7 linked regions of the Oryzias latipes genome follow. The protein of the gene in region 5 interacts with the protein of the main gene of each other region in a pairwise test. Links are inferred from orthologs where the notes say so. Each region holds a gene or a part of one and is shown on either strand. Other genes may lie near its edges. The genes, in order: ric8a, dusp12, snx15, pbx3, rabac1, nif3l1 and syt16.

What was found.
Region 1: the proteins of rabac1 (region 5) and ric8a interact in binary tests that used the Homo sapiens proteins (3 or more experiments, as listed by UniProt). The link is inferred for Oryzias latipes from reciprocal best matches to the Homo sapiens genes RABAC1 and RIC8A.
Region 2: the proteins of rabac1 (region 5) and dusp12 interact in binary tests that used the Homo sapiens proteins (3 or more experiments, as listed by UniProt). The two-hybrid records come from large-scale screens. The link is inferred for Oryzias latipes from reciprocal best matches to the Homo sapiens genes RABAC1 and DUSP12.
Region 3: the proteins of rabac1 (region 5) and snx15 interact in binary tests that used the Homo sapiens proteins (3 or more experiments, as listed by UniProt). The two-hybrid records come from large-scale screens. The link is inferred for Oryzias latipes from reciprocal best matches to the Homo sapiens genes RABAC1 and SNX15.
Region 4: the proteins of rabac1 (region 5) and pbx3 interact in a two-hybrid assay, tested with the Homo sapiens proteins (2 studies listed by BioGRID). The two-hybrid records come from large-scale screens. The link is inferred for Oryzias latipes from reciprocal best matches to the Homo sapiens genes RABAC1 and PBX3.
Region 6: the proteins of rabac1 (region 5) and nif3l1 interact in binary tests that used the Homo sapiens proteins (3 or more experiments, as listed by UniProt). The two-hybrid records come from large-scale screens. The link is inferred for Oryzias latipes from reciprocal best matches to the Homo sapiens genes RABAC1 and NIF3L1.
Region 7: the proteins of rabac1 (region 5) and syt16 interact in binary tests that used the Homo sapiens proteins (3 or more experiments, as listed by UniProt). The link is inferred for Oryzias latipes from reciprocal best matches to the Homo sapiens genes RABAC1 and SYT16.

Annotation. Positions count from the first base shown.
Region 1 is NC_019864.2:5,139,317-5,142,816, reverse strand, and holds part of ric8a (synembryn-A), read right to left. Parts: intron 3,299-3,500; coding exon 3,144-3,298; intron 3,056-3,143; coding exon 2,975-3,055; intron 1,794-2,974; coding exon 1,694-1,793; intron 585-1,693; coding exon 397-584; intron 1-396.
Region 2 is NC_019875.2:21,143,335-21,147,491, reverse strand, and holds the start of dusp12 (dual specificity protein phosphatase 12), read right to left. Parts: upstream 2,801-4,157; 5' UTR 2,641-2,800; intron 2,581-2,640; exon of another isoform or gene 2,523-2,580; intron 1,696-2,522; 5' UTR 1,694-1,695; coding exon 1,431-1,693; intron 1,256-1,430; coding exon 1,142-1,255; intron 368-1,141; coding exon 249-367; intron 162-248; coding exon 74-161; intron 1-73. UniProt on the Homo sapiens protein: Dual specificity phosphatase; can dephosphorylate both phosphotyrosine and phosphoserine or phosphothreonine residues. Can dephosphorylate glucokinase (in vitro).
Region 3 is NC_019876.2:12,564,201-12,566,477, reverse strand, and holds part of snx15 (sorting nexin-15), read right to left. Parts: intron 1,647-2,277; coding exon 1,449-1,646; intron 1-1,448. UniProt on the Homo sapiens protein: May be involved in several stages of intracellular trafficking. Overexpression of SNX15 disrupts the normal trafficking of proteins from the plasma membrane to recycling endosomes or the TGN.
Region 4 is NC_019867.2:19,128,976-19,133,268, reverse strand, and holds the start of pbx3 (pre-B-cell leukemia transcription factor 3), read right to left. Parts: upstream 2,801-4,293; 5' UTR 1,570-2,800; coding exon 1,322-1,569; intron 923-1,321; coding exon 843-922; intron 1-842. UniProt on the Homo sapiens protein: Transcriptional activator that binds the sequence 5'-ATCAATCAA-3'.
Region 5 is NC_019874.2:20,935,573-20,939,837, forward strand, and holds the start of rabac1 (prenylated Rab acceptor protein 1), read right to left. Parts: upstream 2,801-4,265; 5' UTR 2,745-2,800; intron 2,531-2,744; 5' UTR 2,466-2,530; exon of another isoform or gene 2,418-2,465; intron 1,183-2,417; 5' UTR 1,169-1,182; coding exon 1,047-1,168; intron 669-1,046; coding exon 456-668; intron 281-455; coding exon 183-280; intron 28-182; coding exon 1-27. Other genes in the region: dedd2 (DNA-binding death effector domain-containing protein 2), read left to right, coding at 4,147-4,265. UniProt on the Homo sapiens protein: General Rab protein regulator required for vesicle formation from the Golgi complex. May control vesicle docking and fusion by mediating the action of Rab GTPases to the SNARE complexes.
Region 6 is NC_019877.2:7,709,729-7,713,947, reverse strand, and holds the start of nif3l1 (NIF3-like protein 1), read right to left. Parts: upstream 2,801-4,219; 5' UTR 2,730-2,800; coding exon of another isoform or gene 2,694-2,729; intron 1,846-2,693; 5' UTR 1,835-1,845; coding exon 1,240-1,834; intron 1,144-1,239; coding exon 987-1,143; intron 1-986. UniProt on the Homo sapiens protein: May function as a transcriptional corepressor through its interaction with COPS2, negatively regulating the expression of genes involved in neuronal differentiation.
Region 7 is NC_019880.2:23,657,749-23,661,732, reverse strand, and holds the start of syt16 (synaptotagmin-16), read left to right. Parts: upstream 1-1,184; 5' UTR 1,185-1,357; coding exon 1,358-1,373; intron 1,374-3,984. UniProt on the Homo sapiens protein: May be involved in the trafficking and exocytosis of secretory vesicles in non-neuronal tissues. Is Ca(2+)-independent.

The sequences.
Region 1 (3,500 bases), on a different chromosome or scaffold from region 5:
TCTTACAAAAAAAGAGAAAAACGTGTTCCGGTACAATATTGGGATCGGTATCGTATCACCAGACTCTTGCCAATACACCCCCCTACTATACTTATATAGCGCTTTTCTACCTTCTTTGAAGGTCCAATGCACTTTACAGTCACATTCACACTGATGGTGGCTCTCCTGCCAAACACTGGCGCCAACCACCAAAGGCAAGGTGGTGTCCCTTGCCCAAGGACACTTCAACATATCAATCTTCCGATCAGAGGTTCATCTTCAGCCTGTTGCACTGTGTGCAGCCGTGCAGAAGAAGAAGCTTGTCAGGTAGAAATGCTGACCTATAGTCAAGCTGCAGCTGTGGTTTTCAGATGTTGAGAAGATAAACTGGCCTTGATGTGGCATTACTGTGGTTACCTCATCCACTTTGCGTCTGTTTGTGTCAAATGTGACGTTGAAGAGGATTTTCAGTATCTCCATGGCTAGCTCTGTCTGCTGTCTGCTCAGAGGAGGCATCTCCTCGAGAGGGACCCCTACCAGCCCCACCCTGGCTGTCTCCAGAGGATCAGGCCAACATAGACCCAGTGCAGCATCCAGCTGGTTACCTGGTAAAAAAAAACAAGGCATCTTTTTCTCAGCACATTTCCATCTTCTATTAAAAGCTTCTCTATTTATCCTCATCGGCAGTAGAAGTCCAGTTCCAGCGTAGATAAAATCCATCTCACTGAGTAAGATAGACTGCATGGTGGCGCAGTGGTGCAGTGGTTAGTGCTCTTAATAATAATAATAATAATAATAATACATTTTATTTATAAGGCGCCTTTCTGGGCACTCAAGGTCGCCGCACAGCATGTATACAGTATAAAATACAATAAACACTTAAAACAACAACAACAATTTAAATAAATACAAAATTAAATAAAAAATATATAAAAACATGAAAAGGTTAATGTTAAAGTTAATAGGCCATTTGGAAAAGATGAGTTTTTAGCTTTGATTTGAAAATCTTGCCTCACAGCAAGAAGGGCCCTGCCTTAAGTCCCAGCTGGGGGACATGTTCTCCCCGTGAGTGTGAGTGTGGCCATTCCACCCTGCGACAGACTGGCGACCTGTCCAGGGCATCCCCTGCCTTCGCCTACAAGTGGGCGGGATAGGCTCCAGCAGCCCTGTGACCCCAAAAGGGAATGGAAAATGAATGAACTAAGTAAGATGTCATTAGACGTTCAGCTGCTCTCTCTCTGAGGAGCCACAGACCCCACACCGGCCAAAGTCAACTCCAAAAACAGTTCCCTCTAACTGCACCAAACTGCTGAAACAGCAACATAAGCTGCCATGCAGGAGTTGCTGGATTGTTGGCTGTGGGAACAAGCCCAATCATATGTTTCTTGAGCAGACATCTGCACAATCACCTGTCAGTCAGAGGCTACGCCCCCATTTCTGCCAAGTTTGATAATGTATAGCAGCTTTTTGCTTGAATGCATTTATACAGGCAGTTTTTCTGACTATTGTGAAGAGTTGTAACCCCCCCCCCTCTCTGAGTTGTCTGCAGCTCCTCAAGCATCTGCGGTGCTTTCTGACATCACATCCATTCCTCCTCCTCTTCTTCTGTGCTTTGACTCTGTAAGTTCTGTCACTCTGTAACATTTCCAGAAGCTGCAGGACGATGTTGAGAGACAGGCTCAGAACTCAGCAGAGTAAACACTTCACACGTTACCCAAAAGACTGATGCCGTGAAGCTCCTGAGCCAGCTGTGCCCTCACGTCCACCCTGAGCGCGGTCAGCAGGAAGCAAAGGCGCAAGTCAAAGAAACGCACCTGGAAAACAAGCACAACAGCAAGTCTGAGGACAAAACATGACCAGAACTATTTTAGCCTGCAACATATGGACCAAATGCATCAGCGTTCAAATTTCCACCGGCCGGATGGCTCCTGTCATCAAAACAGTAATATGCAGCCCCCATCATTTTCTACAAACTGTGGGGGATTTCCTGATTGTGATTGGCCTAACTACATGTAAAACCATGGCAACACTGTCCTTCTGTGACTCTTTCAAGCTCACCTCTAAAATGTCAACTTTAAATGAAAGGAAAAGTTGACAGTGAGAACCACCGCCACCAGGATAAGTCCAAGACATGGGCTTTTTTTTTTAGTGAAATATGAAACAACTGCGTCTGTCAAATATGCCAAGAGACTATGGCTGTTTTCAATATCAAGAAGAGCTACCTGAGATGCCATCAGCGACAAGCTAACTGGAAACGAATGGTGTGACAAATAAGGAATGTAAAAATGGATTTAGATATATTTGTATTGTATGTGAATTATGAACATATGTTCATTAAGTAGTTCATTTGCATTTAATGCTATTAAAATAGTTCGAAGAATGTTAGGCCAAAAGGTTGACCATCACTCATTTTCACCTCACCAAATCTGGCCCTCGGTGCAAAACGTTTGAACGTCACTCGGTTTCTGGGCTGAGAGACCGCTCTCCAAAGAACTTTCAAAGTTTCACTGATGTTTTCTTCATCCATTGTAGTTCTGCTGCTTTTTTCAGGAGAGGTCTGTTTCTCTTTGCATCAATCCACGAGTCATTCAGAAGTAAATGACTCACATTTTGTGTAACACAAAAAGACAAACACATTGCTTCTAGCCAGTACATCTTACCAGACAGCAGTCTGTAGTAAAGACAAAATCTTACCAGAGTTTTAGGATTTTCTTAAACTGAAAGTGTCCTTGCACAGACAAATACGATGTTTAGTGTTTTTGCTCAAAGACAGTTTCTAAAGGGAGAAAAAAGAGCAAATATAATCAACTGATTTGTTTTTTTTTATCTCATGAAAGTGTTCTGTTAAAATGGAACGGATTTGTTTGGAGGCTTTCAGAGAAGAAGTCAAGACAGACAATCACTGAAGCTACATTTGTATGCTCTTTTCATGTTTAGATGGTTTGGTAAAAGTGTTTGACTTTAACATTAAAATAAGTGTGAAGGAGGTTCATACCTCAAAGCTCCACGTGGGATCACGACAGTGTTTCAGTCTCTCTGCCACACCTTTCATGAGCTGCAGTTCTGCCGCCACCGCCTGTCATCAACAGCAGACAGTCATCAGATCAACACTTCAGCTCTAACCAAACGCTGGCTGTGAGCTGCAGAGCTGACGACAGGCTCACCTGTCCAGTCTCGTTGTGAAGCAGGATGTTACAGATGGACTTGAGAGCCTCGACAATCACCTCCAGATCAGGGTTCTCTGCAGGAGGAGAGGCTTCCTTCTCTGCAGCTCTGAGCGTATCTGCTTCCCCTTCCTCATCTCCCCCTTTATCCTCTACTAGAAAGAAAACAGATGAAAAATGACTCCAAATCTAAATAGTTGTGAAACAGCCAGAAACATTCATGCAGAGGAATATACGATCACCCTCCCTGGCATGCAAGGGAGTCAGAGGGTTTAGTGGCGGCTTCAGGCACGGGCCATACGGGCAAATTTAAGGGGGAGCGGCAGCTCAGTGCTAGTAAGAAAAGAAAAAGCAGCC
Region 2 (4,157 bases), on a different chromosome or scaffold from region 5:
AAAAAAATAAGATTTTTATGCTAAAGAAAATTTAGCCACTAATTACCATATCTAATATTTCTAAGCAATTCACCTGCACTTCCGGCATCTGTATGACACCTCGGAGGAGCTGGAGTGGGCGGGGTCATTAGCAAAAATATCTCTTGGGACTTGCTGCAACTCTGCTTATACACAAATAATAAGAAACAAAAGTTGGGAAAGGAATTCCCTCCTGGTGTTCATCCACAGCAGCAAAGCTTTGCTTTCACCTGGATATCTCTCTGCAATCTTGTTCAGCCTGTATTGTTTGTACAAAGCACTAGATGTGTCCACCTGACATAGCATGGACTCATACAGCTGCAGCTGCTCTTCAAAACCCCTGTTGACCCTGAAACACACCCAAAAAAAAAACAAATGTTATCTTTTAAGCTCTTGTTTTAAATACAGTTTTACCTTTTGCTGGTGTATACATGACAATGCACTTATTAAGATTTTTTTAAACTTGTTTTTCTGAAATGATAAAAAAAAATCATGGAAATAGTCCCCATAAAATCTTTTACCCTGCTTTACTTCTATATTCCTTTATCAGGTTTATAACAACTGATTTTTTTCATGTACATTGACTTTCAACGTCTGTTATGTTTCTAAATAAAAGCTTCAGTCTTTTTTCAATGTTCACTTCTGGTGAAAATGCAGTTCAAGTCTTCAGTTTTCTGAAAAGTAGATGTTGGAGGCAAATCAGCCACAAAGGAAAATATGTCATAGCCAATCAAGAGACAGATGGGACAAAGATTTCCTCTCTACATGCTCCTTCTAAAATCTTTTTCTTTTTTTTTGCTGACATTTGTTGTGATAAAGTGACAGAAGATGTATTCAACAGAAGTTAAGCTTTCTTTAATAGCAAAAAAAAAGCTGAGTTTATGAACCCCCACATTTGATATAGGTTTAATTAATATTTTTATTAATGAGCAGCCCACTAGAAGCACTTTTAGAATTTTTTTTAACTGTAATTTCCAAAAATATATTGACAGAAACATGAAAAACTTTTTTTTCACAGCCAATTGCTTACCTACAATGCTGACAAACTGACCTAGCCAATTTTGAAATACCCTTAACACAAACAGAAGACATACTGGGAGAGAAGGGAATGACAAATACTTACTGAACATCTTGTTTGACACTTTTCAGTCTTTGGTAAGCTTCAGGGAAGGCCAGATGGTGTTTCTTCATTAAATATGCAGTCACAATGGTGGCGCTGCGGCTTCGACCTGCATGACTAATGTGCACAAAAAATAGTTTTTAAATAAGCGTTGTCCTTCTGCATTTTGTGCTTTTATATGTCGTGTCATCATGCACCAAAATGGATTCAGATTGCACATGGTTGCATAAATTCAAGGATGGAATGCGTGGAAAACACAGAAAGGAATAATGAAGCCATATTTGACTCTTACCAGTGAACCAGTGTAGCTCCGCCCCCTTTTACAGCCTCATCAATGAATATGTTGCAGGCGTCCAAGTAACTGAGCAGATCAGTCGTCTCTTCATCTAAAGCATTGATCCACTTTCTGATGAAGTTTCCTGTGGCAGGAATCTGTGGACCAGGATCCACAGATTCCACAGACAGGATGTGGGTGACCGAAGCTGCAGCGAGCGCCTGGCAGTCGTTCAGGTCAGCTGCAGTGCCGATGTACACTCCTGGATCTACGAGCAGCATGACTTCAGAAAAACACACAGGGATTAAAGGAAAGTAAAGAGAAAAATGAAGAAAAGTCCTCAATATTACTGAGCACAGGAAGAGTTGTGGAGCAGACCATCTGATCAGTTTGATCTGCGGAATTATTGAGATATTGAAACTGGCCCATTCATTTCCAGGTAGAATCATTTTAGCTACACAGAACTTTCTGGCCTTTCACAAAGCATCTCATTTGTTTAAATGAAAAGCAAAGTGAAAAAACATGATATTTTGTTTTCTTTGCTTACATATAGTAATAAAAGTATTTGTAAAACGTCTCTATGAAACAAAAACATTCCTCACTATAAATAATTAAAAAATCTAAGGATACAGAGTGAGTGAAGAGGATTGAACGTCTTACTACTTACTGCTGTCTGTGAACTGTATTATGGAATTAGTGTGTATGTTAATAAAGTCATAACACATTTTATGGCAAATATGCTTATTCTTCTTCTTTTAATTACTTAAATAAGGGGGTGTGACGTCACTAAAATATGTTTATTTGAAGATTTTTATATGTTCATCCCCCCCTCCCTCCCTCCCTCCTTATGTTCACTATTTCAACTTTTAAAAAAAACGCAGCATCTTCCACGTTAAATGTCTTTCCAATTTTTACTTTTCCTTTAATTTTTACAAGTATCACATTTTGTTGTGATAATTATAAAAACTACAGTGTAACACTCAAATGTGTGACTGGTTCTCTGACCACAGAGCAATACGGATTTAAATGGCATCACCGAGCTTCCATCTTCATCTTTAATTTAGGCTTAATGTAACCCAGCCTTCTCGGGTCACATACCAAGACAATTACCTGATTTCTTACCAAACAGCAACGCCCTGCTGCTAAACACGCGTGCACATAACACCGTGGTGCTGTGACAGCCAGCCTCGCAGTTAACTAACTCCGTTAACTAAACTCGTTAACTAACCTCATTTACTTGAGTATGTCGTTTCTTTCCTTCCTGCAAATTTTGGCTGCTTCAAACCTCAAAGCATCAAACGTGCAAAACACACAAAAACTAACTTTAAGACGGACCCTAAAGGCGTGAGCACCAACGGGACTGGTGTTTTTGTTCGTCTCTTAAAGCTGTAGGGAGGAAACACGACATCATTTTATAGTTCCGCTGATGATGATCGCACCAACACGTGTTTTTTGTGTTCTGCTGGAAGGTTTGATATTTTTACTAAAACAAAAATAATGTCATGACCTACTCCTCTTGCTCTAATTTTTTACAAATTTTTATTTATAATAACCATGTAATTTCCCAAACCCAAAGATTCATATAATGCATGCAGCAACAACTTAATAAGGGGTCATGTCTGAAGCTTTCGTGAGCCCAAAAAAACAGCTCTCTCTGATCAGAAAAGTTTTAAGTGATCAGGGAACTGTTTAATAAAGTTTGCCTAGCATCAATCTGAGTCTTAAAACTTAATTTTGCCTTTTCTATTTCTGTTTTCAACTTTTTTGTAGCAGAATTTTGTCATAAATATGTAACCAACACGAAAAGAGATTCAGAGACAGAGCTTTTCCCATTTAAGGTGTTTTTTTTCAAATAGTTTAACTCATCATTGAAGCAGACTCACACAACTAAACACACACATTTTGCTCATATGGCAAACATAGATTTTCTACTGGGAAGAAATTTTTTGTTCTGTAGTAATGTAAAATCTGAAGAACTCTATAAAATTTGGGCCTATTTTAAGAAATCAATAACATTTTTTACACACACTGATGTCCTGCAGACATTTACATAAAAAAAACAGAGTTTTCCAACCATATTATATTTTGTTAAGCGTGTATTAAAAGCAATAGTTTTTAGGATTCCAATTGACAGCATATACTGAGAATGTAGATTCAATAAAGCCTATTGTTGTATTTGTGTCAGTCAGACTTGACTTGATTACCACAGTGAAATAATGTGTGAAATAATGTGTTGTGATGGGGCTTTTTTTATGAGTGAAAGGTTATCATGTATGGAATGATTTGGGATGGGTCTGAGCAGGTATTAAGGAGAGCAGATTGACCCCTAATGTGCACCTGGATGTTACTGATCCAAAAACATTCAGTCATTGACCAAATGGTTGCTGGTGTTAGTTTTTGTTTTAAATTACAATTTTTATTGCAATTATTAAAATACGATAACAATAAAAGAAGAGAAAATAATATTTCCCAGAGAGAAGGCCCTAGTTTGAATCCTGGCTGGGACCTTTCTTTGTGGAGTTTCCATGTTTTCTTATGGCACTCTGTCTTCTTCCCACAGCCAAAAATCCTGCTTTAAAAGATTATTTGGTGACTCTAAATTTCCCCAAGGTCCCTAGGTTTGCATCTGAGTGTGTGAGTGTGTGGCCCTCCAACAGACTAGCAAGCTGTTCTGGGTGTACACAATAGTTGCTGAGTTGGCAGTAGCAACCCCGTGACCCTGAAGATGGATAGATGGATAAAAGA
Region 3 (2,277 bases), on a different chromosome or scaffold from region 5:
TGATTTTACTCACAACCCTCTCAATAGGGTCACCTGCTAATCATGTAGTGCTACAACTCACAAATACACATTTGTTTAGATCATTAAGCATTGAATAGATCCAGAATCCTACATTATTCCACCACTTTTCTTTAGCTCAATCAATTATTGCACCTGATTTGATCTATTTTCTAAAGAGCTTTACAAATGTCAAATAAAGATGATCAAAGAGATGTTACTCCATATGCATTTTGCTTGATACTCAAATCTTAACTTTAGAGTAAGGAAAGGGGAAGAGTGGCTGCAAGCTAATAAGAATGTGTCATAGGATGGATCCACTAGTGCCTGTCCTCTGCGTTTGTGTAACCGTCCCCCTCAGACAGGGAGCCTGAAGCCTTTCTGCCACAGACCCGACGGACTCGTCCGCTGACCGGATCCTGCGTGGGGACACTTCATTCTGTGGATGCCAGTCCGCTGAAACATGCTCCCCCATGTGGAAACAATAACAGCAGCAAATGCATTTGTGCAGCTGCTCTGGAGCAAATCCACAAACAATCCTAACTGGACCATAGCAATACCTTTACGCCATGTTACTTCCACAGAGGAAACAGTTGCATTGAGGAACAAAAATAGCCTATGGATCATTTCAGATAAGCAGCTCCTGCATGTCAAATTTGGATACAGCGGAAATTTACAGCACAGTAACAGGAAGGTTATCTAACTAAATTTACTTAAGTATCCTTCAATACAAATAATCTAAACTCTGTTGATTTAATTCAAAAATACCACATTTTTATTCTTTGGCCTAAAGTTGTGTGTCCTAAAACTTGTCGTTTTCTTTGGACAGTTTCTGCAGAGCGGCAGAACTTCGTTAAAATTCGCCTCTAAGTTGATAGCGGGACAGTTGGTGCAGAGAAACCCCCACCCCCTTCCCCTCCCTGCTGCTGAGAGCTCTCTGTTTACATACTCTTTCGCTGGCTTCCAGCCCCTCAAACCCCTAACCCCACATTCCATGGATCCAGTCGTCTATTGGATGAATCAGAATGGAGCAGAGCAGGCAGCTTGTGGCACCGCTCAGTGCATGTTTTTTACGCCAAAACTTCAATCTTTTTCAAACTGCATTTTTTGTCTGCTCCTGATTTACAACAATTTGAATAAAGAAATACTCAGAGATGCTGTTTTAAGCTTAATTCTCCTAATATCTATAATAGAAAAATGCTCCAAGAACATGTTAAAAACAACAGAAACATGGGTCCTTAGCTTCATCACATGACTCTTGAGTCCTAATGTGCATCATAAACCTTGCAAGATAAAATGATGGAACTAGGAAATGTTGCTTTGTTAGCTTCCCAATTTATTTTTTATGTTTTTGTATATAATATCTGTAAATTAAAAGTAAAATATATTTAAAAAGATTAAATAAAAGCTTTGGGATACTGTATGCACAATCCATAAATATTTCACCATACCTTGCACTCCAGTGATCAGGATATCCACAGCCGTCCTGTAACCCCGAATGGCAGAGCTGAACTCTCCCTCCTTCTCCCTCTCCATGGCGGCCTTCAGCTCCTTGGCTGCTTGGTTCAGGTATCCCACGTCCCCCCCATTCAGACTGGAGGGGAGCAGGGAGAGCAGCTCTGAGTGATCGGAGGAGAAGCCCGTTGCTTCTGGAATAGAAAAGAAGGGATTCCTTCAAGTGCTTATTCAAAATGTAAAATCCCTCCATCATCTTAACCCGCTATAGCCCTTTTGGGATCATGGGGTTGCTGGAGCCTGTCCTGGTTACTGTTGGTAGCCGGGACAATGCACACATGCACACCTAGAGACGATTTCAATTCACCAAATGACCTATAAAGCATGTTTTTGGTCTGTGGGAAGAAGCAGAAGTGCCCGGAAAAAACCTGCACATGTAGAGAGCTTGCAAACTTAAACCAGGGGCGAGAGGGCTATCCACTACGCCACCATGCAGCCAATGTTTGAATCCAATTTGTAAATTAAAGGCACAGGGATGTGAAATATTGCAGTTCTGATTAAAAAAACTGTATGGGACCTCAAATTAACAAATAGGTTATTTTTCTTTGTAAAACTTCTTGAATAAAATTAAAACACTGATCTAAAAAATCATATTAATAAGACTATTAGTTTTGAATTAAAGCAGCGAGCCGTGTTGTATGACCCATAAGTGATACCCGTCCCCATTTCCCCGGCTTTATTTTCCCCCTCTGCCTCTGCCACCCCGGTCAGAGCTGCATGTTGTTGTTTTTTAATGGCAGCATCTCTGTTGGTTAAATCTCCATA
Region 4 (4,293 bases), on a different chromosome or scaffold from region 5:
TGCTTATAGGTTTTCTTGTTTCACATAAATATCAGGTATTTGATGAAGTCTGTGCAAATTTGTATGATCATTTTATTGTAGCTTTATTCATAACTGTCTACAGTTTTTCTACATCATTAACACTTTAATATTGTAAATACAGTGGTATTCATTTAAATAAAGGACCGTTTTTTTCTTAAAATAAGTCAGTAAAATGTGAACTGTAATTTACTTGCCATTCATAAAGCAAATACGCCAGCAGCAATTTTTTTCCATAATTTTTAAAAACTCAAATTTCCATCAATCAATATTTGTTTCTGTTCTTTAATTTGCATTTATCCACACTGTTGTTCATGTCCCCGTTTCCATAACAGATTATGTGCCTATATAGTCTCCTTAAAATGCATAGCAATTGTCATGTTAGAAAGCATGAATTCTGTGTGATCTTTAGTTGTGTAGAGCATATGCTGCGGGATTTCCCCATCCTATTCTGTGCCAGCGTGATGAGGCTGAATGAAGGAGCGTGCTTTCTGTTTAAATCCAAGCAACCAGTGCTGGATAACAAGACTTTAGCAGGAACAAAAGCGTCTTCAGGGGAAACACAATCTACCTGCTGTACTGTGCAAGCAGTGGCCTTTCCTCACGGCACAATGGCATGTTTTTGTTTTTTGCTAGTTTGGTTTGCTTTGTTTTGGTTTTGGGTTTTTTTTAAACCAGAAGATGATGGATTCATTTGGGCGGAAATTCTGTGTAACTTGGATGAAGGATGTCATTAGATTACTGGGAGATGCAATAAAATGCATGTTCTACTAGTTGTTGGTTTTTTTTTTTCTTTTAACTTCTGCATGTGTTTTTGGTCTTACCTGTCTTTTCTTTGATTTCACAGAGAACGCTGAAGAGTGCTGGTTTCATTCTGTGACAGTTCAGTCCATGTTTCCTGTTTCAGTATAAGACAAAAAATAAAATACTGAAATAAGTTCACTGATAAGCGACATGTAAGAAAGAAAACAAGCACTGATGACTTCAAAAATGATTTTTTTTAACTTCAGATGATCTTTTCTGTCAAAAAAATATAGGGGGTTTGAAACTATTTGCAGATGTAAATGCATTTTTAAAACAAGTGAACTCAAAGTTTCTGCAACTTAAAACGCAGCCACTTTGGATTTTATTTTTCTGTGCCAATTTTGCCATCAACAAGCTACACCTCCACATCTTTCCAGCCACTTCAGCCTATTGTTACGCACATTGCAGTCAAAGTAAACCGGGCCACATGATTACATTGTTGCAGCTGGGGACTATTTTTGTGGACAGTCAATGGAATAAATCATAGAAATCAACCAACTTTGCTTGCGCCTCGTCCAGACTTTGATCAGTTATGGTCATTATTTGATGCAGAATGTCACCGATGTCCTGCTTCCGTCCGTCTCCGTCTGTCCCATCGTGTCCATGTGGAGGCGGCAGTGCCATGCCTCCTTGCACCGAGTGGCCGGCCAGACTAACACCGCCGATCGACTGCATGATCCGGGCTTGATCGTCCATAGTAGCCGCTAAAGAGTCTGTGCACTGAGCCACACAAATTGAAAAACTCATATACGAAATCGGCTATAGCATATGCCGCAAGCAGAAAGGATGGACGACTGATTGTCCGGCCAAAATAAAAGCACAGATGTCCCCCTTTTTGGCTTATTTGTCGGTCTCACTACTAAATGGGGGATGTTTTTGTTTTTGTTTGTTTTTCTGAGGCGTAAAAATGTGTCCAAGTTGTCGGCGTCGTCTCGCTGCTTTACGCGCGGTCCAAAGTGCCAAAACGCGCAGCTCTATTTGGGAGAAAACACATGAATCTTTCTTCTTCCGAAAACTTCTTTGTCAAAATTGACGGTCCATCATATCCAGTCCTCGCAGCAGTCTTTTTCTTTTTCCACCTCTTGCTCTGATTTGACCGGCGGTGTTGACAGAAACGCTCCTTAGTGACCTCTCATTTATTTAGCGCTCTTCACCAGATTCCCGGCACATTTCCTCTTGAAGATGCCAAAAAAAAATTAAAATAAAAATTTAAAAATATCCTCCTGCTGAACAACAACAAAAAAATATCCAAATGTGGAAACAGACCAAAGAAATCTCGGCAGGTGTTGCCAGCAAAATGCGCGGAATGTTTCCAGCGACAATTGTCAAATGTAAAAAAAAATAAAAATAAAAAATAAAAAAAACAATCTGTAGCACAAAGGTGTCCAAATGTTCCTATAAAAATATGAAATCTTAACCAAAAAAAGTTGGAAGATTTCTGGTTAAGGAAATAAAGCAGCAACAACGACAAGAAATTAATTAGGATTGTGTATTAAGACGATGCGCAAAAAATATCTTGCCCTGCTGAAATTTATGAGCTGCAGCCTCTGCCTGTGTGTTTTATGTGTTTGATGGCAGCGGTAGTGAGCGATTGACAGTGTGCCAATGCCACTCACTCAGTGCAGACGTGTCAGAGCAGGCTACAATGGTAGGGGAAAAAAAAGACAAAATACGAAATGAAAATGCACGCTCCGCCCTGCAGAGGAGGGGTCTATGTTGTTGTCACTTCTCGCCTGAGCCCCAAAACACAAAATGTTAGGAGCTAGTACTTAGGATGGTGATTAGAATGATAGAAGAACGGCAGAGTCCCCTCTGTCTTTCTTGCAGCGGCGGCGGGGTGTCCTCGTTTCCGTGACGCGTGCACGTGCAGCTATGTGCATTATCTCCAACAATAATAAAGATTTAGCCCCCACACCGCAGGCAAATTCATGGGAGTTTTATACAGTTTGATGTGGCATAGTCGCTCTTCAAGCCTCGGTTCAAGCCATGCGAGCGGCAGACATGTTTATATTATTGGAAGTAAAGCTCACTGGCCAATCAAAGGCGAGAACAGCAGAGAGTGACGGGCCCTCTGTCCAATTGGCGGAGGATACAAGCTGCCAAACGCCCTCCCACTTCGTGTGTCAGTCTTGCTAAAACATGGGAACTTGTGATTGGCCGTTGCTACGCGTGACGTCGACTGAACGAAGCGGGCGGCGCTCGCGCTGGGTGCTCCTCCGCAGTTGCTATGGCAGCAGACAAGTTGTTGAGCTGGATACAAGGCAACAAAAATGCTCCTCTACAGTGAGAGTTTAGCACGGATTCACGAAAAGAATTAAGTAGTAAGATGGAAAAAATGAGGTGTGGACTTTTTTAGGGTTATTTGATAGTACTCTGAGGCTTTTTACAGCTCTAAATTATAATTTACTGGTTTGGTCCTTACAGAAACTAATACTATTTTAGTTAATGTTTAATTTAGACAGGAATCTTCGAAATAAAAATACAAATAAAACAAACAAATAAATAAATAAAGTAAAAGTAAAAGCCTTCTAAATAACAATTCTGCATTGGTCCTTAAACAAGTGAATACTATTTTAATTTATGTTTAATTCAGACAAAAATATATCTTAAAAAAACAAACAAAAAAAAACACAAAAAATAATTAAAAAAAACATTAAAACACCCTTTTAATTCCAATTCTTCTTTGGTCCTTACATAGACTAATTCTATTTTACTTTTATTTTTAATTTAGATGGGAATATAACAAAAAAGAAAAGAAAAGAAAAACACTACTACATATGTCTCGCCAGTGAAAGTGTTGTGGAGTGATTCCTCTTTAAATGAAGCATCACAGTAAACTTCGTGGTTTTCTATTCCTAGACTTATTTTCATATTAATATCTTTGCAAACAGAAACAGAAGAAAAACACCTACAATCATGCATTATTTCTCGCAAAGAAAAGTGCATTTTATAAAAGTCAAACTGGACTGTCTACACCTCACCCAGTTTTAAAATGTGAATTCTGATCATTTGTGACTTTTTGAAGTTACTCAGCGATGAACAGAGGTAATTAGAGTTCAGAGAGAATTTGTTCTTTATTTGTGGAAATGTGAAAAAAGTAAAATACCTACACTCAAGCTCAAAACTGCAGGAAAAAAAAAACAAAAAAATGAATGGGATTTTAACACCTCACTGCACAACCTTTATCTCCCAAAACTTAGTTTATTCAAATTTTAACATTTTTATATATATTTTTTACTTTAAATGTTCAGAGAGATAAATAAAAATATTTCAATGTCTGAGTATGCAACAATTTATTTAATTTTTACAAAAATATTAGGTTAAATATACCAGGAAAATCATTGAATATAGCATCAGTTTACTCCAGATTGTATTCATTAAAAATATTTTTTTAACAACAATCCTACATCTCTGTTTATACCCAAATCAAACTCCAATTCAAATTAATATAACTAGCATCTGCTTGCTTCT
Region 5 (4,265 bases):
TCTGATGAGGGACATTAAGCTGTTTGCCTGGAAAAAAACAAAGTTGGCAAACACATGAAAACATAATTCTCTGTGGCTTTCTATAAGATTCTCCCATTTCATGCATGGCTGAAAAAAACTCTGAAAAAAAGTTTTTTCACTTTCAGGCAAGTTAAGGACAGCAGTTTTTCTGTTTTACTTACCAAGAACAACCAGTCTGGACTCTTGAGACTTCAGGTGGATTATGTAGAAGGCACCAAGAAACACAGCCAATGCAATCAGTAGCATAGGGGAGCTTATACTGACAAGAAAAGAAAAAAAAAAAGGCTCATAATGCTGTTACTGATTCAATCTTTTCTTTTTCTTTTCTCAATCCCGGTGGCCTTAGTGTGTGCAGTCAGTGTTGCATCTGTTATTTCATAAAACTTCAATAATGTTTTGAGGTAAGGCCAAAGCAAACTCAGGTTTACACCTACATGCAGTACAGGATGAGACCCAGGAAGATGAAGGTGTAGTTGCTGTTGTAAGTTTCCACATTTTTCACCACTCTCTGGCATGCATCTCCGAAGTTTCGTGGTTTTGAAAACTTGCGTTGGTCCACAAAACTGGCCCACGGTCGAATGGACAATCGGCGCCTATCAATCCACTCCTTGGCCATGCTGGCAGAGAAGCCTTTAGGGAGCCAGAGCCTACAAAATAAAGGTAAAATGGTAATAAAGCGTACAAACTCTCAAGGAAAAAGTCAATGCATTACAACTTTTGACAATATGAGCAAAACAAAAAAGTATTTTGTAGTTTGATTAAGGAAATTCTTAGAAACTTTGACAAAACAAAACTTTAAAAAAAAAAAAATTTTAAGTAATGAGGCACAGTCTACAGAACAGGAGGATGAGGATTTAGGACTAACTCCACCCCCAAAAGTGGATGTGTAAAGACAGTAACTCACAGAGCCTTAGCACCATTGCTGTGGTTTTTCTACAAACGCTGTTTAATGTCCACGTCCATCACCGAAGAAAGTTGTTTGGGTCACTAAACTCCTTTTTAAAAAAAACAAAACTGACTCGTACTTTGAAAGGATTCCAGCTCCACCCGTGCCAGTTGGGTGAGCATCTTCAGCCGTAAACAGATCTCCAGCCTTGCTGTCCATGTCCACTTGACAGTTCTCTCCCTTTGGTACTCCAGATGGCATCTGCAAACCTTCTCCTGAAAATAAAAGAAAATAGAATAAATAAAATAAAAGAAATAGTCTTAAGATTTTTCCTTCACATACTTTTTTTTCCCCCTTCTTCGGATCAGCACAAGATAAATAGTCCAAAAACTGTGTGGAAAAATGGCCTTCCTTTATATGGAGATAGATGTTTTTTACGAGAGATGAAGTGGGATAAAAGAATATTAACGTTTTTGAGTTTGAGGTTGTTTAATGAAGAGCCTAAGTATTAATAATAATTATAGAAAATCATAAAATAGAAAATATATACATATGACTGAAGACATATACCCAAATACTACAATGGGTAACTGAGTAAACAAATGAACGGAAGATAGAAGCTCAGGAAAGATCTGACTCCTTTTCTTTTCCTTTTTTGCCTATTGTTTACTGTTAACATGCAGATAAGTGCATGCCAAGTTTGCATGTGGGATGTTGTTACATCATTGGGTTTGTCAAGTGGTTTAAAGATTTTGTTTTGTTTAGTTTCTCCATTTTGCTTCTAAAGTTAATTTAAAAAAAAAAAAAAGAAAAAAAAAGATTGTCTTATTGGAAGTTTGCATTTTTCCTCGTATTTTTCAATGTACAAACGATATGTATCCTTTATAAAACATGTCAGAATTTTTCTGGATTCTTCTTTATTTTCCCCTGTTTAAATGGGAAATAAAACACCATACACCATACAACCATACAATCTTTACGATTTTTGTAACACTCCTCGAGGTGCATCAAAAGCAAACTTAAATAAATAAATAAAAAAGGAAAAAGGAAAGGAAAACCTGTTTACTTTATTTTTTAAAGGTAAATAACAATTGATATATTTTATAAAATGTGTTTAAAATGGAGAAACAGCAGTAACTACAAAAGAAAAACTACATGATCACTAGTTTCCACATTATTCTTAAGAGCATAGAGGTTAGATTTTAATTCAAACTTGTTCCTGATTGGCCAGAAACATAGGAGCGGATCTCGTAAGTGGAAAATTTTTGTCAACAGGGCTTGGTCACTGCCACATCACTGACAAAGGCCGAGAACTGAGCCAGAAAACGACATTTTGAGCAAGTAAAAATCTTTTAAGGATCAAATTTGTCCATATGTGTCGAATTATAAGTGGAATAACTTTTATAAAATGAATACTACCTACTTCTTCGTGTCTCATGTTAAATCAAACTGATTGTACGAAGATCACAGTAATTTATAAACATTGAAATGAAAAGACATAAGATTTTACCTTCGTGATGTGTCAAATGTCAAACCTACAGACGATGTAGATACTTACAGACCAAGTTATGGATAAAAAGCCAAGTTGTTTTGTTGCTGTTGGTCCTCACGGATGTGATGTGGCTGAAGAAGAAGAAGAAGAAGAAAAGAACTTCCTACAACACCAATGCCGCACACTGCCCCCTGCTGGTTGCACCAAAGAACTCCCCAGTCTATGATGTTATTTTTTCCCTTACATTTAACCATATAAAAATATTTTATTCATTCCTCTATTTAACTTTGAAGTCGACAAGAAATCAAAAAACATTTTTAGTGCCAAAGTGACAGAGATTACTACCTTGATTCTTTTAGGAACAATCTGGGAACAATCGGTATGTTAAGTGTGGCAAAAACGTGACCTTACGTTATGAAACCCAGCCCGAGAGCTGTGATTGGTCAATTTACGACTCACGTCTAGCCACTGTCACGTCGCACGTTGCATTGTGGAAGTTGCTAGATCATCCAGCGTCAGGCAAGCTATCGCGGCTGAAAGGTGAGGTCTAATGCACTCTAGGAATATTCTCTTTGTGGAAAATGTAACCTAATAGTGTTTTAAAGGCGCGTGTTTAACGTTACGCTGTATTAGTTGACGCCTTAGCGTCTGCTAGACTAATAAGTTCAGCGGGATTCATCATCATGTCGTCGCACCGACCGTCGTTGAAACAAACAATAGACCGTCTTATTTGTCTCTAGAATTGTTTTTCTGCTAATTTTGCGTGGTGTTACGTGAAGTATAACTGCCAACGAGCTCCTGTGTGTGTGTTTTTAATCGAACAATTGAAGAGCTGTGTGTTTTGTATGTGTTGTCCCCCACCCTACTGATTACATAACTCTGTTCAGAGGAACGGTACCGAGTCGGTAAAGATAACATTAGCAATTGTAGCTAGGCATATATGACAGTAATTAAACACATCTCGATGCATTTCATTATAGGTGGTAGCTGCTTGCAAGTTTGAAGAAAATCTTAAATAGTGAGTGTTCGTTTGTGGCACACAATGTACACACAAAGACTTAACATGACAACTACTAGCTACAATTAAAATACCCACTCCGATGAAAATGAAAATTTAGCTTAGAATTGCATTTCTGAGTATTTCTTTATGCAAACTGATGTGAATTAGACGCAAAAAGCTGTTGCAAAAAAACGTGTAAGTGTGACGTAGAAGCTACTACACCAACCAAGCTCCCTCACTGCTCCATTCTGATGCTTCATTCTGACACATTTGGGCTTCATTTTCCTCGTCTGAGCTGCCATCTGGCTCAAAACTGTACGGTTGGATAGCTCCAATATTGTTCACAATTTTTGTTGCACCACTAATGTGCAGTGGAAGTTGTGATTGTGAGGGGCTGTAAGCGAGTGTGTAAAGGGATGGTGGTAAGGGGGGGCTAACTCCATGCCAGCAGTCCTGCCCACGACTCTGGGGGGTTAATTTCTAATTAACTCCTGCCGCTATGCAGAAACCTTCCTAGAAAACAACACGGGGAACGCTTTGAAAATATTTTAAAAGATGATCGGAGTGGGGCCTTCAAATTGTTACGTTTTTTAAATGAAATTATTAATTAAGGAACCTGATACCATTTGTTTGGTTTCAAGTTTCAAACATAAACATGGTTAAAGTAATTTTTTTGTGTTTGTTTTCTTTTTCCCCTAAACTCCACAGTTTTATTTGAGTGGGAAACTTGGAAAAAAGGGGTAAACCATGGCTTCAATGAATTATCCTGAATGCACACTGAAGAATTCCTTATACTGGGATGAAGCAGAGTGCCTTAACTACTATGGGATGATGTCTCTTCATGAGATGTTTGAAATAGTCGGAGC
Region 6 (4,219 bases), on a different chromosome or scaffold from region 5:
GAGATTACAGTGGAAGTGAACATGCAGAGCAGCAGGTGAACGCCGTGCAGCCGCAGAGAAGACCGACTAAACTTTGTTGAACAGGTGAGCTGTATGTTTATTGATAACGTTCCAAATGTCTGGAAAGTCATTTGTTCGATTAACGATTCATTAAAGTTGTATTTATTGATGGTTGGTTTGCAGGATCTCTGCAGCCCGACGAAGCCGTTGTCGGTGTCCCTGCAGCTGTTCGCTTGAATCCTTTCTTCCTCCACCAAAGACAAGACTCTACGTCTGTGTGACGCTTCCGTCACACAAAAGGAGGAGCACTTTTTTTTTTTGGCATTTTCAACGTTCCAAAGCTAATATAAAACACTATTTTCATTCCTCTTTATTGTTTTATGCTGAAACGGGACATTTCATCTGCAGGAGGGGGCGTTTGTAAGACTGTTTACTTCCGCATTGGTGTTGGGATGACAGGTTCATGACGTAATGAGACAAATGAACTTCAGGATATGTGAATGGAAAGGAAAATAAAGGCTGCAGCGGTCCTCTACACCCAAACGTGTCTCTGAGCTCCTTATTTTACCTATGAAACTCCGCTTTACTGACACTGAACCCCGGAAAGACTACTACACGGAAACTAATCTGATTTTGAGTCGCCAAAAGGTTCAGAATCTCTTTGTTTTAAACCTATAATAATCCGGAAATGAAGCTTCACAAAAGGCTCCACATACTTCATCTTCAAGCTAGGTTCCGATAAACGGACAACTTCGGTGTTTTTTCCTTAATCTACGACTTTTTTCTCGTAAATTTATGAGATTTTAAGTCGTAAATTTATGAGATAAAAAGTCGTAAATTTACGAGTTTTTATCTCCTAAATTTACGAGATAAAATCTCGTAATTTTACTTTTTTTTTTTTTTTGGTGGCTCTAATTTTTTTTTTTTTGTGGCCCTAATACTCCGTCGTACATTTCTGAATATATTCCCCAAAAATCTCAAACAACCTGGTTCCTGTAGAGATTAAGGATGTTCCTCCATCACAGGCCTTAAGCTCCTTCATCACTGTGTTTAGTTCCTCTGTGCTTCTCACTGTGAACTCGAGTTTATGACAGTGGGAGGCGTTACCAAGAGCCTGACTCAGCACAGACACTTGGCCGCTGCCTGAAATTCAAAGAACAACCCAGAAAAAAGCAGATTACAGGTTCACATGCAGCCACAGCAAGCCTAATGCAATTTCCTGCCAGAAGAGCTCCTTACCAAGGCCTGCAACCAGCCAGTCATTTACCCCTCCTTTAACACTGTCCCATGAAGTGTGAGGGGAGAAGACCGCAATCCCAGCCTCTACCGCCCGGATGGCCAATCGCTGCTTCCAATCTTTCTGGTTCAGTCGCTTAACAGGACGGAACAACGGCGGGTGATAGGAAATAATGAGGTCACAGCTCAAAGCCTCTGCTTCCGCCATGACTGCATCTGTGAGGTCGTTGGTCAGCAGGATGGTTTTGACCGGCCGAGGTTTGCTAGGCTCGACCAGCAAGCCGACGTTATCCCATGACTCAGCAAGAGACAGAGGAGCGAGCTGCTCCAGAACCTGCAAAGTTTCCTTTAACTCCATGGGGCCAGTAAAGTGGGAGCAGTGAGGAGGCTGGAAGGCGGAGGAGAAAGGAGGATGCAGAAAGGATGAGCTGTTGATGATTCGCTGTTGAGGAGACGAGGAGACAGAGGGAAGAGAAAATGATGCTGCTGAGGCAGAGAAGTGGAGTTCACTTTTAGGCTTGAACCTTTTACACATCCAAGTTCTTCTATGTACAAGTGATGCAAAGATCAGAAAGAGATTCCTGCATCCAGTCAACATGAGTGGACCATCTGCATAAAACAAAAAAGAACACAAAAGTGGGCACTGGGTGCTATTTTTTCCCTTTCGAAAACATATCATTAAAATTCAAGTTCCCCAATTACAAAAACGAACAATCACTGCTAACTTTAAATACATTTTTCTCAAATATCTTCAGGTTTCATGTATTTAGTTATTATAATATCACCTATAATAGCCCTTAAATGCCTTCAAAGAAGAGGCTGTAATATACTTATTTATTCCTAAAAGCAACAGCTTTTTTTGCTCGGTCGAGCCGAGCAAACTTTCATTCGTTTTTATGCATATATACTTTGCTCCAAAAATTTAAGTCTGCATATAAGACTTTTTTAAAGGCCATATTTACCCTCTGAAGAAAAACTTAATGTGACTTTATTTCCAGTTTTTTTTCCTGACCACAATATTAATTTTTTAAGATATTTCATTGGAGATTTTGGACTACTTCACCACGTAAAGTCGTGGAAGATTATAAAACTAGGTCTGATCCACCAATTTTGCTGAATTTAAGTAAAAGCAAATTTGGATAATTATTCTAATCCATCTAATCCATCAAATAATAATTAATGATTTTGATAGAAACATAATATACACACACGTATGTTTAAATAAAAAGATCTACTACCTGCACACGATTTTTATATGACCAACACAAGCACAACAATGAGTGACACACATGCGGCTAAGCACAACTACCTACCCCTAGCTAAGCTAGCAGATTAGCTGCGCTACTAGTGTCTTGTAAATGTTGATAGAAAATCACCCATTTTATCAAAATTCAGTGTTGCTATGATGAGGTAAAAGCCGTTTCAGAGCATTGGCAAATGTAACGATCTTGTCATACGTTCAGGAAGATATCAGAAACTTTGTGAGCTAGCATGAACCTCTGCGACTGTCAGTCAGAACTTTCTGCACAACCCTATAAATGTCCCTTTCGAGCTTCCGTTGTGTATATCGACAAAAAACGGGACATAAATAAATAGGCGTGGCTTCTGTCACATTATATTACGATACAATGTTTTAAAGATACATTATAATGCCAACATTATGACATTTTATTTTATTTTATTTAACTTTAAATTTTGAGCATTTATTTTGTTTAGGATATTAGTTAAGATTCATTGTCTAATTTTGAAAAAGTTCTCGGAAGGAAAAGTCGCTTTTAAAAGATTTGATTATAAATATGGTGAAATCTTTGGTTAATTTTGTGGCAACTGACTCTTATAAGGTTACCTCAGTTTTAGCATAGTTCCTTTAATGTCATGCAGAAAATCATTTCTGGAATTTTTCCAAACAAGTTGAATTCTTTTAACCACATTTTTAAGCTATGCTCCTTTCACAGGAAAAATAAAGTTCTTTAAGCATTTATTAATTTTCCTGTCCTTATGTTCAAAAAATTTGTTCACAAATACGTTACCAAAAAAAACCTTTTTGACCTGCAAATATTTACAGAGCTGTAAGCACAACGTTGAAACTATTGGTCAGTAGGCTAAAAGTGCAGAAGCTGCCTTACTCTGTCAGTGAGTAGTTCTTTATTAGTGATAAAAACAGTTTAATTCTCTTTAGACTGAAATTCTCTGACTGTGGACATTGCATTCTAAAAATGAAAGCTTATTTGAACAAACAGCTACTGACAATATGTCAGAGACGTTAAATGGAAACCAAGAGGGCATTAGCTTTAAAAGGTGCGTTTAATCAGCCATCCTAATAAATCCTTTTGGTGTTGCATAATAGAGCTCAAATGTAATGTTATGAAACAAAATTACTGATTACTGTCAACAGGAAAAGGCTAGATGACTCTGATAAGCTGTATTAATTCGAGTGGGCAGGTGGTCCAGAAGATACCCAGGGATCCACTTGCCTTTTCTCAGAAAGATTACCGACCACATAGTAACACGCAGATGAAATCTGTCTGCAGCTGGTGGTCGTGAAGGGGTTAAACATGCATTTTTGGCACGACAGCAAGCTTCTGGACAGAATGGCTTCTTTTGGATTAAGTCAGAGAGTGACCAAGAGAGAGATATTGGGGATTAATGCATTAAAGGTCGATGCTAGATGTTAGGAAGGGGGATCAGGGAAGGATCAGCGCAAAGGCCAGCCAGAGTGTATTACATCATCTGAGTCTTCCTTTGGCCTCATCTTTCTGTCCGTGCATGACATCTATCAGAATAACAAGGTCCTGCTCTTCCAGCAATCACACAATTTACATTGTCAGGACAGTAAAAGCATTGAAAAATCTGAGGTGTTGAGTTTTTGGAACAGAAACAAAGACTTAAAAAACACTTGAAACAAAAAAGTATGCTGTTATTTGGAGTTACCGTATACATTGCTTTGTTCTCAGTTGTTTGGTTTAGCATATTGGCTTTTTTT
Region 7 (3,984 bases), on a different chromosome or scaffold from region 5:
TAATAATAATTTGCAATTGCACGTCCTTACTCTCTCCTAAACAGCATAAATTTAGTCTTTTTTAGATTCAATGATAATTTGTTCCTATTGAACCAATATTTTAACTTGTAAAATTCCTGAGTTATTTCACTTAAAAGTTTCTCTTAAGTTCTGCCCTGAACATAAAACATTGGTATCATCTGCAAAAAGTATGAATTTCATCATTTTTGATCATTTGCAAATATCATTAATATAAAGTAAAAACAGAGTTGGTCCAAAAATTGAACCTTGAGGTACACCGCAGATGATATTCCTATTTTTAGATTTCTTATTACCAATCTGTACAAACTGCTGTCTATCCTCCAGGTAGCTCTTTAACCAGTTTTGTGTTAATCCTCTGATTCCATACTTTACCAATTTATTCAGTGAAATATGATGGTCAATCGTATCAAAGGCTTTCTGCAGGTCTAAAAAAATTCCAAGGGAATTTATTTTTTTCAATACAGTTAGTAATCTCTTCCAGGGGGCCGGTTTAGCTCGTGCTGGTTTGCGGCGCCTTCCGTCTGTGAAACCAGGGTTTGACTCCGGGCTGCTCCCTGTTCCCTTCTTTACCTCTGTGCCGGTCCCAAGCCCGGTTGCTTTGAGAGGGTTGTGTCAGGAAGGGCATCCGGCGTAAAACATTGCCAAGTTTACCATGTGACTTGTTCGCTGTGGCGACCCCTGATGGGAAAAGCCGAAAGAGAAACAACAACATTAGTAATCTCTTCCACAAGTTCGATTATGGCAAGGGATGTAGATCTTCCTTGTCGGAAGTCATATTGACTGTTGAATAGCAAATTGTTTTTATGTATAAAGTTAAGTAATCTTGAATTATATAGTTTATCTAATATTTTTGAAAGCTGAGGCAATAAAGAAATTGGACGGTAACTTGTAAAACTTTGCTTATCCCCTGTCTTAAATAAAGGAATTACTTTGGTAGTTTTCATTTTGGTGGGAAACTGTCCACATTTCAATGACAAATTGAAAATGTAGCGCGCAGGTCTCTTGATAAATGTGATCTTTTTACAGGGTTTTCAGGGGTATGCGGTTCGGAGGCAGCTGGCGCCAGATTCCGTTAATCGTTAAGACATTTTACGTGACCCCCCCTCCCCCCCCCCCTCTAAAGAGGCTGCTCCACATCACTTCTGTTTGCTGTGATCGGAATCTGACGACGTGCAGCGGAGCGTTCAGGATCACTGTGAAGTGCAAAGTTCCCACAGTCCGTGAAGGCACCGTGAGGCTGCAGATCTGCCGCTCCGCTGGATGAGAAGCGGCGGGGACGCTGCTGCCTGATGTCCGCCGTGGAAGCTCCGTCCGCCCGGAGGAAACGCCCGCAGCCATGGCCTCCTCGGACAGTAAGTGGCTGTTGGAACGGGTTCTTCTCTTTTCATTTAGCCCGGAACGGCACGCAGGCCATTTTAATATTAGATTGTTTTTTCCTCGCGCGCTGGCGTAACGTCTTCGGTTAACGTCGGTGCTTCCGGGGAGTCGTGGTTTGCAGCATCTTCATCCTCTGAGCTGCAGCAGCTTCGTCAGGAGGAAGAGGAGCAGACAGCTCCGCAGGTTCCTCACGCACCTGCTGCGTGGCTGCACCCCCCACCCCCACACTGTGGTCTGTTGGTGGTAGCCCCCCCCCCCCCCCCCCCCCCCCCCAACAGAAGTCCATGGATGCAGTGAGAACCTCAGAGCATCCATGCTGCTGTGTGTCCTCCTGCAGAGCTTCCTGTTGTAGCCCTGGAGGACAAAGTCTCACAGCAGCTTCAGAAATTTATAGAAAAAATCCTATTTTTTTGCAGATTTTTGGATAAAATTTCTTCCAGAATGGACTGCACGGTGGTGTAGCGGTCAGCCCTTTCACCTCACAGTGAAAAGAGCTTGATTCAAATCCCAGCTGGGATCTCTCCGTGTGGAGCATGTGTGGGTTTTCTCCGGCTTCCTTCTACAGTCCAAACACGTGCTTATGGTTATTATGTGTCTCTAAAATGTCCCTATAGGTGAGCATATGTGTGTGTGGTCCTGCAACAGACCGGTGAGCTGTTAGGGTACACCCGCCTTGATTCAAATGTAGCTGGGATAGGCTCCAGCAACTCCCTGAAAGGGATTCAGCGGGTTCTGAAGATGGATGGATGGAGCGGCAGATTTAGCAGTTTGGGGGCGAACAACAACATGGGGCCCCTCTGAAAAATAAAATCCTTCCTGTCGGGTGAAACATCGAATCCTTACTGGTTCACTTTCAGACAACATCAATGTCAAGTGTCCAAATGTTTTGATAAGAATTTAAAAACTGAAATCATGTTGAAATGTAAAAGAAAAAAAGGATTTTATGATCTATACATTATTTTTACTTTGGAAAAATGAAATGTATTAAATGCATTAATTTGTTAATCTCTCATTTTCTAGAAGGAATGAACGACAGATTTCTGTCTTTTCTTTATTTGTCAGCACTTAAAAAAAGAACTATAGTTCATTTTTACTAAAGTGCATTTTGTTATTTTTATTTAACTCTTTATTTTTCACCTATTTTTAAAACACTTGCATAAATATTACTTAATAAATTTAATATTTATATTACAACAATCACTTAATGTAATTTTCTGCAACCGCTTGATACAAGGCTTTGAAGTAAATCCACAGAATTCCTTTTGAGTGAAGTTTTACTAAAGAGTTTTGTTTTAATTTGGTTTTGTTTTTCCTATTTTATCCGTCTTTCAGCACTTTTGGAAGTTTGGCAACAAAAGTCTTGTTTACTTTTTGCCTTTTCCTCTTTTCATAGCTGCCTGGATCACTCTGCTTCATTTGACCACTTTTTAAAAATAATTTTGATTCATCATTTAATCCCTAAAAGAGAGGACATGGAATATTAGCTTACATAATAAAAGGCTTCCCATTATTAGCATATGCTGAGTAAACTAAAGGAACAATCAACCCGTCTCACTCAGGTTTGCGTCATCTCTCGTGCAGCAGAACTCGCAGCCTGTCATCTTCTAGGACGTAGTTTCTGCAGAGCAGCTGGAGGAGAAATTCATCTCTGAGTTGTGGAAGCAAACCCATCCCCCCTTTATCCTCTCTGTTCCTGAGAGCTCTCTGTTTACAATATCTCCCCCAGGCTCACAGCCCCTGTTTAGATCAGGATCAGGTATTCAGCTGTCCAGTTTAGATCCAGATCTCCCCTCAAACGAGGAAAACAAAGACAATCGTTGATCTATTTGTCTGCAGGTGGATGCATCAGAATGGAGCAGAGCAGGGAACTGGTGGCCTGCCGTAGTAACTTCTACATCACACTTACAGGCCTTTTCCAACTGTATTTTTTCGTGTGCTCCTGATTTACAATGATTTGGATATAGAAATACTCAAAAATACAATTTGAAGCTTTATTTTTTCCCCATAAGAACATGCTAAAAACACCAAAACAGCACTTTTCTTGGAGTGGGTCTTCAACATCCCTGAGCAGAAAGACAAAGCAGGATGCGGACTCCCCCATACCCACAAAAAATATATTTTTTTAAAGAAGATTCTCTACCTTAACTTTATTTTACAGAGGAGATTTATTGTTCCTTCTGTGGATAATTTCCCTCTTCTCTCTCCTTTTGTGGCATTAATGTTGCATCATAAATGTCACGTGTGTGCAGGTTGCGCTGCAGCTTAGCAGAAATGAGCTAAATAAAGGATAGTTTTGTATCAGAAGGTTGTGTAACCTTGTCTCCTCAGTCCGCTTGTGGTTCCAGTAGGGTTGATGATAGACACCCAAGAGAACTGTGGGAAAAACCACCACATTTCACAGAGGATGTTCAGGTGCGTCTCAGGAGAGTTTCAGTCCAGAACTTCCGGGTCTCTTCAAGGTTTGGAGAGTCCAGAACCTCAGAATCTTCTTTTTCTGTTTTCTCTAATGGTTTGGAAGAAACCTCACATTTCACAGATGTTTTCAAATCAACGTCATGGTTTACCCGCTTTTTTTCCCTGCCGGTT